Nothobranchius furzeri: one gene and its partner. The protein of the gene in region 1 purifies or fractionates together with the protein of each later gene. This does not show direct contact. Links are inferred from orthologs where the notes say so. Each region holds a gene or a part of one and is shown on either strand. Other genes may lie near its edges.

Region 1 (4,422 bases):
AAACTGGAATATGTACAATTTGAATCCCTTTTCTTGTTTGCTTTATGGAGCAGATGAAAAAGTGTCGACAATACGATAATTGTCATCGACTGAAATTCTTGGCAAATTCCCAAGGGATCTGGAAAGTGTACTGTTCACTGCATGCATCCATGCTGACATCATTGTGAAGGGGAGAGGAAGTACCACAGCTCTCCAGAGTTCATTAATCAAAAGCGTTTGCTATCAAGCACAGGGTCTGTTTCAGGGCTTTGTCACTTTAAGAAAACAAGCTAGAACTGGCCACCCCTGCTCAGGCTGCTATAAGCTGAGAAGCTCCATCTGGATGGGGCTTGGAGTAGAGCCGCTACTCCTCCAGCAATGGGTCTTTCTTGCATGTGAAAGATGGTTTTCGTAATTTTCAAAACAGCTTGTTTTAGGCAAATTATTTCTAAAATCAAACACTGGCAGAAAACGCTCGGAAGGATTTTTTCCACGTTTGGAGTGTTTATAGAGGCAGTAGAGACCACACAGCCTAAAAGGAAGCAAATGGTGAGTTTTTCATAACATGCCCTATAAAGCAGCAGCATCCACCTTTATTCCTGGAACTAGTGGTGCGTTCAGTTTACCTCTGAAGTCTGAATTTGGAACTGGGAATGGTGACACACCTGAGTTAACTGCGTTCTGGTTACTGTAGTCAGCGATGTCAGGATTCCAATATTGGCGACGCACACCTCCCAAGTAGTAATTGTTTGTATACTCCTCTTAATAGCATGGTTTTAAGATTTGCGTTTAACACGCAAACAAAACTTTTAGTATGTTAAGCTTAGAGTTGCAAACACTACATTTAATATTGGTTTTAAACTATGTGTGTTCTGTTAAATAAACACATTTCACCCAAAAGTTACTGTTGTTGATAAGAAGAGCTGCCATTTTTGTTGTCGAGTTCGGAATTCTGAAATTCCTCCGAGTTTCTGACTGCGAGGTCCGACTTTTTTTGGGGGGGGGGGGGGGGGGGGGTTACAATTTTCCAACTAGGAAGTTGGGATTTCCGAGTTCCGAAGATACATCGAACGCACCATCAAACCCTGTTTCTGCTGAGTGAGGCTATTTGCTTTTACACCGAAACCTCAAAATGGCCAGAAACTCCCTTTAGGTATCACAGTAGGATCTGTTAAATGATAACAAACTATAAATAATTATAATAAACTGGTATTTCCACTTGGTGTTCTGTCCCGGTTGGTTTACTCGTCCTTCATGCACCGGTCCCTGAACGCACCTCCTCCTTCCTCAGGGTGAGTTCTGCACGCGGGTCAGGACTCTGGAGCCACCCGGAGGAGGAGGGTTACATCAGAGCGGGACGGGGTTGGGTGTTGTTTTTCACTCATTCTGGCACACCCTCCGTCCTCCCCAGCATCCTGCCCAGAGCCTCCAGTCGTTCCCAGTGAGACCGAGCAACAGGTAGAGCGGCAGCAGCAGCGAACATGCCGAGTAAGAAGCAGCATCTGCGGCCGCGGCTGTGCTCGCTGCTGAAGGGCGACAACGGCTACGGCTTCCACCTGCACGGAGAGAAGGGCAAGACGGGCCAGTTCATCCGCCTGGTGGAGCCGGACAGCCCGGCAGAGTCCTCGGGTCTCCGCGCAGGAGACCGACTCGTTTTCGTCAACGGTGAGGACGTGGAGACCGAGAGCCACCAGCAGGTCGTGTCCCGGATCCGAGCCACGGCGGGCCGACTGGAGCTGCTGGTGGTGGACCCGGACACGGACCTGCTGCTGAAGAAACACAACCTAAAGTGCCTGAAGGAGTTCGTCTCCGATGGTCTCCCGTTACCGTTCGAGGACAACGGAGAGGAGGAGGAGACGCAGGAGGACGAGGAGAAGAAAGACGGAGAGGAGGAGGTGATATTGGTGAAGGAGGACGTAGAGGTGGACGGGACTGAAAACGGGAACGCGAGGCTGGAGGAGGTGAAAGTTCAAGGAGAAGTAGAAGAAGAGGAGGAGGATGAGGTGGTGGTGGTGGAGGAGGAGGAGGAGGAGGAGCAGGCGGAGACACCCAGGGAGCTGACCCCCGTCCCAGAGAGGAACGGGGAGATCCTCGGACACGTGGAGGAGATGCTGAGCATCAGCTCTGAGAAGGTGAGTTGAGTTCTGGAAAAGTTTCATCATGTCCCGTCCTGGTGTCTCTTCCTCTTAGACATGTCCTCCTGAGGAGAATAGGTCCTCAGTGACAAAGACAACCTCAGTCTCATGTCCACAGGTCCACCGATGTGGATCAATGGCCGATACCCAGCTGGTAGAGCTCAGAGGAGCTAGCTCTCTCTAGGTTCTGTGTTTCCTTTTTGTTAATGGCCAAAGAATGAACAAACATGACAGATAACGTTAAAGAGGACGAACGTCAGCTGATCTATTGACCAGGCTGCTGGGTGAGAGGTTCAGGCTCGGGTCTGATGGCCTCAAACAACACCAGAACATTCTGGCCACAGACACATCTGTGTTTATCGTTCTGTCGTCAGCCTGCAGGTTCAGGCTTAGGCAGTGAAAACAAACTACATCAAATAACTAAAGCCTCCACTACAAACAGCAGGAAATAGTCTGGTGTCTTGTTTTATTCCCACTAGTGAGATCCCGTTATGGGATTTGTTTTTCAGCCTTTCATCTTGGAACATTATGGGGTGGGCTTCACTCAGTTGTCTGCTCTTATTTTCTCTGGTCACACTTGTGTGTGTGTGTGTGTGTGTGTGTTTAAATTCATTCAAACCACTTGAGGAAGACGCTCCGGTCAGGGACATCTGTGCCTCTTGCTGCGCCGCCTTGCGTGTTCTGGATGTTTACCCCTGAGGCTGTTTCTGTCTGAGTCCAACACATGTCCTCCCAGTGAGACGGGTAGAAGGAGCGTGTGAGACAGCAGATATCACAAAAGGGCAGAACCAGAACCTGCTGGGCTTCTTTTAAGTGTTTTTATACAATCCTATTTCTGCTTTGGCTTGGTTCACACAGAAAGGTAATCATCCCCACTTTTGATCCTCTCCTTCCATTCTATCTTAAAGACCAAGTTCACTGAGAAACTATTTTTTCTTGTTATTTTTATTTTTAAGATATGATCAGTTGTTCTGAATTTCACTTGCAGGCTGAATGTGAAAACAGTCTTTGCCGTGGAGAGTAAATAGACGAGGAAAGTCTCGTATTAGAAAAGTCAGACTTGGACTCCCCCATCTTGGCTCGTGACAGGGAAGACTTTTGTTGATTCAGGAGAGAGCAGAGCAGGTCTTGGCTAGTAGTAGCTAACCGTTAGCATAAGCAACTCGGCAGCACGGTAGAACTCCTCCAGGCTTGTGTTATTTGTAGAAGAAAAACGTTGCAGAGCAAACAGTCGGTGGAAGAGTCGCGTTGCTCTTAGCCAATCAGAGGTGAGGTGTCCAAAAATCATGAATAACGAGTAAGTCTCCAAATCCTGCCGTTTTATGCCCCCATTCCTCCGACTAACTTCTACTTCCTGAAACTGAAGCGCCAGAGCTTTTTTTCCATTGAGAACGATTCCTAAGGCATTGATTTATACCTCTTTAAAGCTGAGGAGGTCAGAGAGGTCATGATTATCCGTGTTACAGTTGAATTTAGATATTTAGTTACAAATAAGCACTTTTTTGAGTAGGAAGAAAGCAGCTTTTATTAAGTTTTGTTAAAAATTAGTACATACACAAAGCATACATCAAACGTAGACATTTCTGTCATCTTGTTTTCTCTTGACCTTAATGAGCCACTGGCAGCAACTTTAACATTACTTTTAATCTAGTTGCTTTAAACACATATTTATGTTTTTACATGAAAATGGTGACATTTTGCCTAATCTTGTGTTATTACAAAGCTTATGCTGACATTTTGGGTAGTTAGTTACTTTTAAACGCTTCAGAAATTCCTCCAAATATTTCTTAGTTTCTTCCTCAAACAACTTTTTCCTCCTCACCCAACTGTTAAAAGCTCATAAAAAGCAATTTAAGACACAGAAACCGCTGACATTTAGCATTCATCTTTATGAAGTGATGCTTTGAAGTAGAGGGCACTCGCTGCTTCTTCACATCCATCCTTCACAACAACAATGTAATGACAGCTTTAGCTTTTCTCAGTGCGAGCAGCTAGATTTGGAATCACGTTTCTGGTATTTAAGGGATTTTTTTTCCTATTCCTCTTCACATGGAAATAGCTGCAGCCCACGCGTGTTTGCACGCAGCTCTTGAGAGCTGCTGGGTTGTGTTGTTTGTCCTGGGGATACACAGCAATTGTTCTTGTGTTTACTCTCGATACTGTCCACAGATGGCCCGGTGGAGCTGTCGATTCATGCCGGCACGCACAATCCCGCAGGGCAAGTGTTGTGGAGACCATATTGCAATCCCTAAAAAGTCTGTTTCGTGTTTTAAATATGGAATTTAACAGCAGGTTTCCATTGACTCCT
Region 2 (3,820 bases), on another chromosome or scaffold:
ACAACAACAGCCTTCCTCGTTACGAGTTAAGATGGTTGAGTCCATGAATGTTCATTAGCAGTGTGACGCAGATCTGTCAGGATTTTCTAATCCTGGAGTTTCACCGTATGTTTTCTATCAGAAGCTAATGCAGGAGATAGGTGTAGGAGACTATTTTCATGTTCAACTTGCATGAAAAACTGTGACCTATTGTTATCAGAAATAATAATTAAAATATGTTTTTTCAGTGTTCCCCATCTTTAAGGCAGATTGTCTAAATGAAAAGGGGGCTGAGATTTTTCCCCATCAATGTTTTCAATTCTATATTTAAACAAAAAAATAAGAAAAGTCCCTTAGTTTTAAACACAGGGCTTCCCTTTAACCATCCCACTGTCCTAATGGGGGTGACTCCGTGAGGAAAGTTGACCATTGAGGAGGGTTGATGGTTTATCCCTTGGCTCCATGTGGCAGGGGTGAGGAGTGAGCACCCCCTCAACCCTGCCACGTGGACCTCAAGGGATAAACCATCAATCCTGCTCAATGGTCACCTTTCCTCGCGGGGTCACCCAAAAAGACAGTGGGAGGGTTAAAAAATGAGAGAGCATTTCTTATTCCCAGTCAGAACTCACTGTGAAACGTCCATGTGTGTCAGCTGGTTTGGGACTGGATAGACGTTGACTGTTGTAAGGCCTGAAAAATAATAAACCGATGCTACGTTTGAACAGTTTTTTTTTTGTTTACGTTAAATAAACTCAGTAACTGAAAGTTATAACAGAGAGAAACTTTGAGGTAATCAGCCAATGAAGTGATAACAGAAGCTAGCTGATGTGTTTGACTCACGGTTGCTGCTAGCTTGAAGCAAGCGCAGTGTGAAACCGCTGAGTGTGAGTGTCCCCAGCTGGTTTCGCTGGCAGTGCAGAGTCTCCAAGTTGCAGACGGAGCTCAAGTCGAGTGTGTCCAGACAATTGTCCCTTAGGTCCATCTGGGTCACCTGGCTCACCGGCTCAGTGTTCTCGCTTTTAAGCCACCGAAGCCCATTCAGGCTACATTTAAAAGGCAGAACACAAACAAATAGGCAAAGACAATTTATTATAGGGTAACTTAATTGGAAATAAGTATATGTTTTGTGTGTCACCCGTTATTTTACCATGGAACTACGGTTAAGTCAGCTACCGAGATTTAACCGTAAAATCTATGTTTATATATATATATATATATATATATATATATATATATATATATATATTTTTTTTTTTTTTTTTTTTTTTTTTTTTTTACAGTGCACAAACAAACGTGTTGCACTCATGCATGAAGAGAAAGCAGCTCAATGCTCTGCTGGATATAGCATCCTCATCCTCTGACAAAAGATAATTCAATTTCTTACAAAGCCTCTTCTCGATTGATCAGATTCATGGGGAAACGAGGCCAAATCCCTAAGAGATCCCACCCGACAAGTCACTGGGTTGAAAGGTGGTCAGAGCTGTTTTAGTGGCTTTATTTCAGCTAAGCGGTCATAATGTAGCGGCTGAGAATCTCCACTGACAGAGATCAAGGCTCTTTGTCATCCCATAACTCATGTCAATTAAAAACAGCTTCTCTTTTATGGGAACTGCCAGCCCACCAATCCATCACAGATGCACCTTGTCCTTATAAATACAAGCTGCTTTCACCAAACCACAACGTAACTCTCAAAGGAGGATTAGTATCTGTCAAAGTAGTGGTCATTGGTTTCACCTCCAGAGCAGCAGGAGTACGAATGAGCTCACAGATGGCAGTTCCCAGGTGTGAAATAGAACAATGCACTAAACAGCATTTGGTCATAGAACATCTGGTGTCTATGAATGGATTAAAAAATTAAACAAGCTCAGAGGAGAGTTAAGGAATGCAGAAACGGTGGAGGTGCAGGCTGGAGATTTTGACAGGACATTCATTTTCCTGTCAGGGTTTGGAAAATCAAAGTAAAAAAGAGAAACCTCATAGAGGACAGCAATAAGTTTTCCATCCATCGGCTGGTTTCAAAATCACAAAATGACAAACAACAATGCACCGGTCGATGCTGTTACGATAGCACGGCTGTAAAAGTGAGGGATGGAAGCGAAGGAGGAAAGTTACCGGAGGTCGATGTTTCTCAGGTGGCTCATTCTAACCAGGGTGGACAACTCCAGGCTGTCCACCCGGTTCCCAGCCATAGCCAGCTTGTCCACTGCGCTCAGTCTCTCCAGCACAGCGGGGATGTGACAGAAGTTATTGAAGGAGAGTCCCAGGCTGTTGAGCTGAAGAAGGCCACCAAGTTCCTCAGGCAGCGAGCTCAGGTGGTTTCCATCCAAAGATAACGTCTGCAGGCTACGAGGTGAACATGAAAGAAAAGAGAATGCCTTTTTAGAACATAATCAGTATGTCAGCATGTGCCTATGTGCAGTTATAGTTGTTTTAGTTTGTAGCATTTTACATTAGGTCTCTTTAATTCAGCAACCTCATGCATTTCAATTCTGTGCAATACAAACTGGACATTATGAGACTCACAATCCCTTCAAAATATGTATAAAGTCATATAAAATACTGCTTTTTGTGTCTAATTATTTTCATTGCTACATGTAACTTTTCAAAGTGTGAAACACTCGTTTGTTCAATACATTTGCAGTGGTCTCTAGTAGAAATGAATGCCATGTCAGTTGTATTCAGAGGTAAAAAGCTCTGGTGCACCATTTTCAGGAACTAGAAGTGAGCCACATCACTGCTGACCTTCAGGCGACCGGACTTGGAGTCTTATTTCCTGATTTTTGGACATGTTGTCTCTGATGGGATAACAGTAATGCATCTTCCACAGACTGTTTGCTCTGCAATGCTGATACTGAACTGTTTTGGAATGTTTACTGTGCGAAGTGCCTTGAGACGACTCTTGTCATAATTTGGCGCTATATAAATAAACTTGAATTGACATTATGTTTTATCTCTGCATGGTGGCGCAGTGGTTAGCACTGTTGCCTCGCAGCACGAAGGTCGCAGGTTCAAAACTCGCCATTCTGCGTGGAGTTGCGTGTTCTCCCCATGCATGCGTGGGTTTTCTCCGGGTACTCCAGTTTCCCCCACAGATCACAACATGCCGTATAGTTAAAAAAAAAAATTGTAAGTCGCTTTGGGTAAAAGCGTCTGCTAAGAACATATACAAAATCTCCACAAATAACAGAAGCACGGAGGAGTTCTGCCATGTGGTGGAGTTTCTAATGCAAAGGGTTAGCTTCTGCTATAGTCGAGACATTCTCTGTTTTTTAACAACATAGAAAAAAGAAATGGTTCATATTTTTCAGATTCGCTTTCTGTGTGTGTGTGTGTGTGTGTGTGTGTGTGTGTGTGTGTGTGTGTGTGTGTGTGTGTGTGTGTGTGTGTGAGTGTGTGTGTGTGTGTGTGTGTGTGTGTGTGTGTGTGTGTGCGTGCGCGTGTGTGCGTGTGTGTGCGTGCGTGCGTGCGTGTGCGTGTGCGTGCGTGTGTGTGTGTGTGCGTGCGTGCGTGTGTGTGCGTGCGTGTGTGTGTGTGTGTGTGTGTGTCACACCTCTGGAGGTTGCCAATCTGCATGGGGATGGTGTGCAGATTATTACAGGAGAGGTTCAGTTCAGTCAGCGTGAGGATCTCACACACACACTCAGGAAACACACCAAGACGGTTGTGAGATATGTTCAGACTTTTCAGCTGACAAAACCTAAAGAAAGAAAGAAAAAAATCACTTCCTTCATTCCATTGTTCTTGTTGGATTTGGACTAATCATTGCTTGATAAGCTTCACGAGGATGCAATGTTACAAAACAAGAGAGGGAAATAAATGAATGCTTATGTGTGCATAAGGA

The links.
Region 2: the proteins of nherf1b (region 1) and phlpp2 purify together in Homo sapiens (co-immunoprecipitation; 3 studies listed by BioGRID and IntAct, with this or other methods). This does not show direct contact. The link is inferred for Nothobranchius furzeri from reciprocal best matches to the Homo sapiens genes NHERF1 and PHLPP2.

The regions. Positions count from the first base shown.
Region 1 is NC_091752.1:50,771,108-50,775,529, forward strand, and holds the start of nherf1b (Na(+)/H(+) exchange regulatory cofactor NHE-RF1), read left to right. Parts: upstream 1-1,320; 5' UTR 1,321-1,460; coding exon 1,461-2,111; intron 2,112-4,422. UniProt on the Homo sapiens protein: Scaffold protein that connects plasma membrane proteins with members of the ezrin/moesin/radixin family and thereby helps to link them to the actin cytoskeleton and to regulate their surface expression. Necessary for recycling of internalized ADRB2.
Region 2 is NC_091749.1:59,327,844-59,331,663, forward strand, and holds part of phlpp2 (PH domain leucine-rich repeat-containing protein phosphatase 2), read right to left. Parts: intron 3,677-3,820; coding exon 3,530-3,676; intron 2,323-3,529; coding exon 2,092-2,322; intron 1,023-2,091; coding exon 820-1,022; intron 670-819; coding exon 609-669; intron 1-608. UniProt on the Homo sapiens protein: Protein phosphatase involved in regulation of Akt and PKC signaling.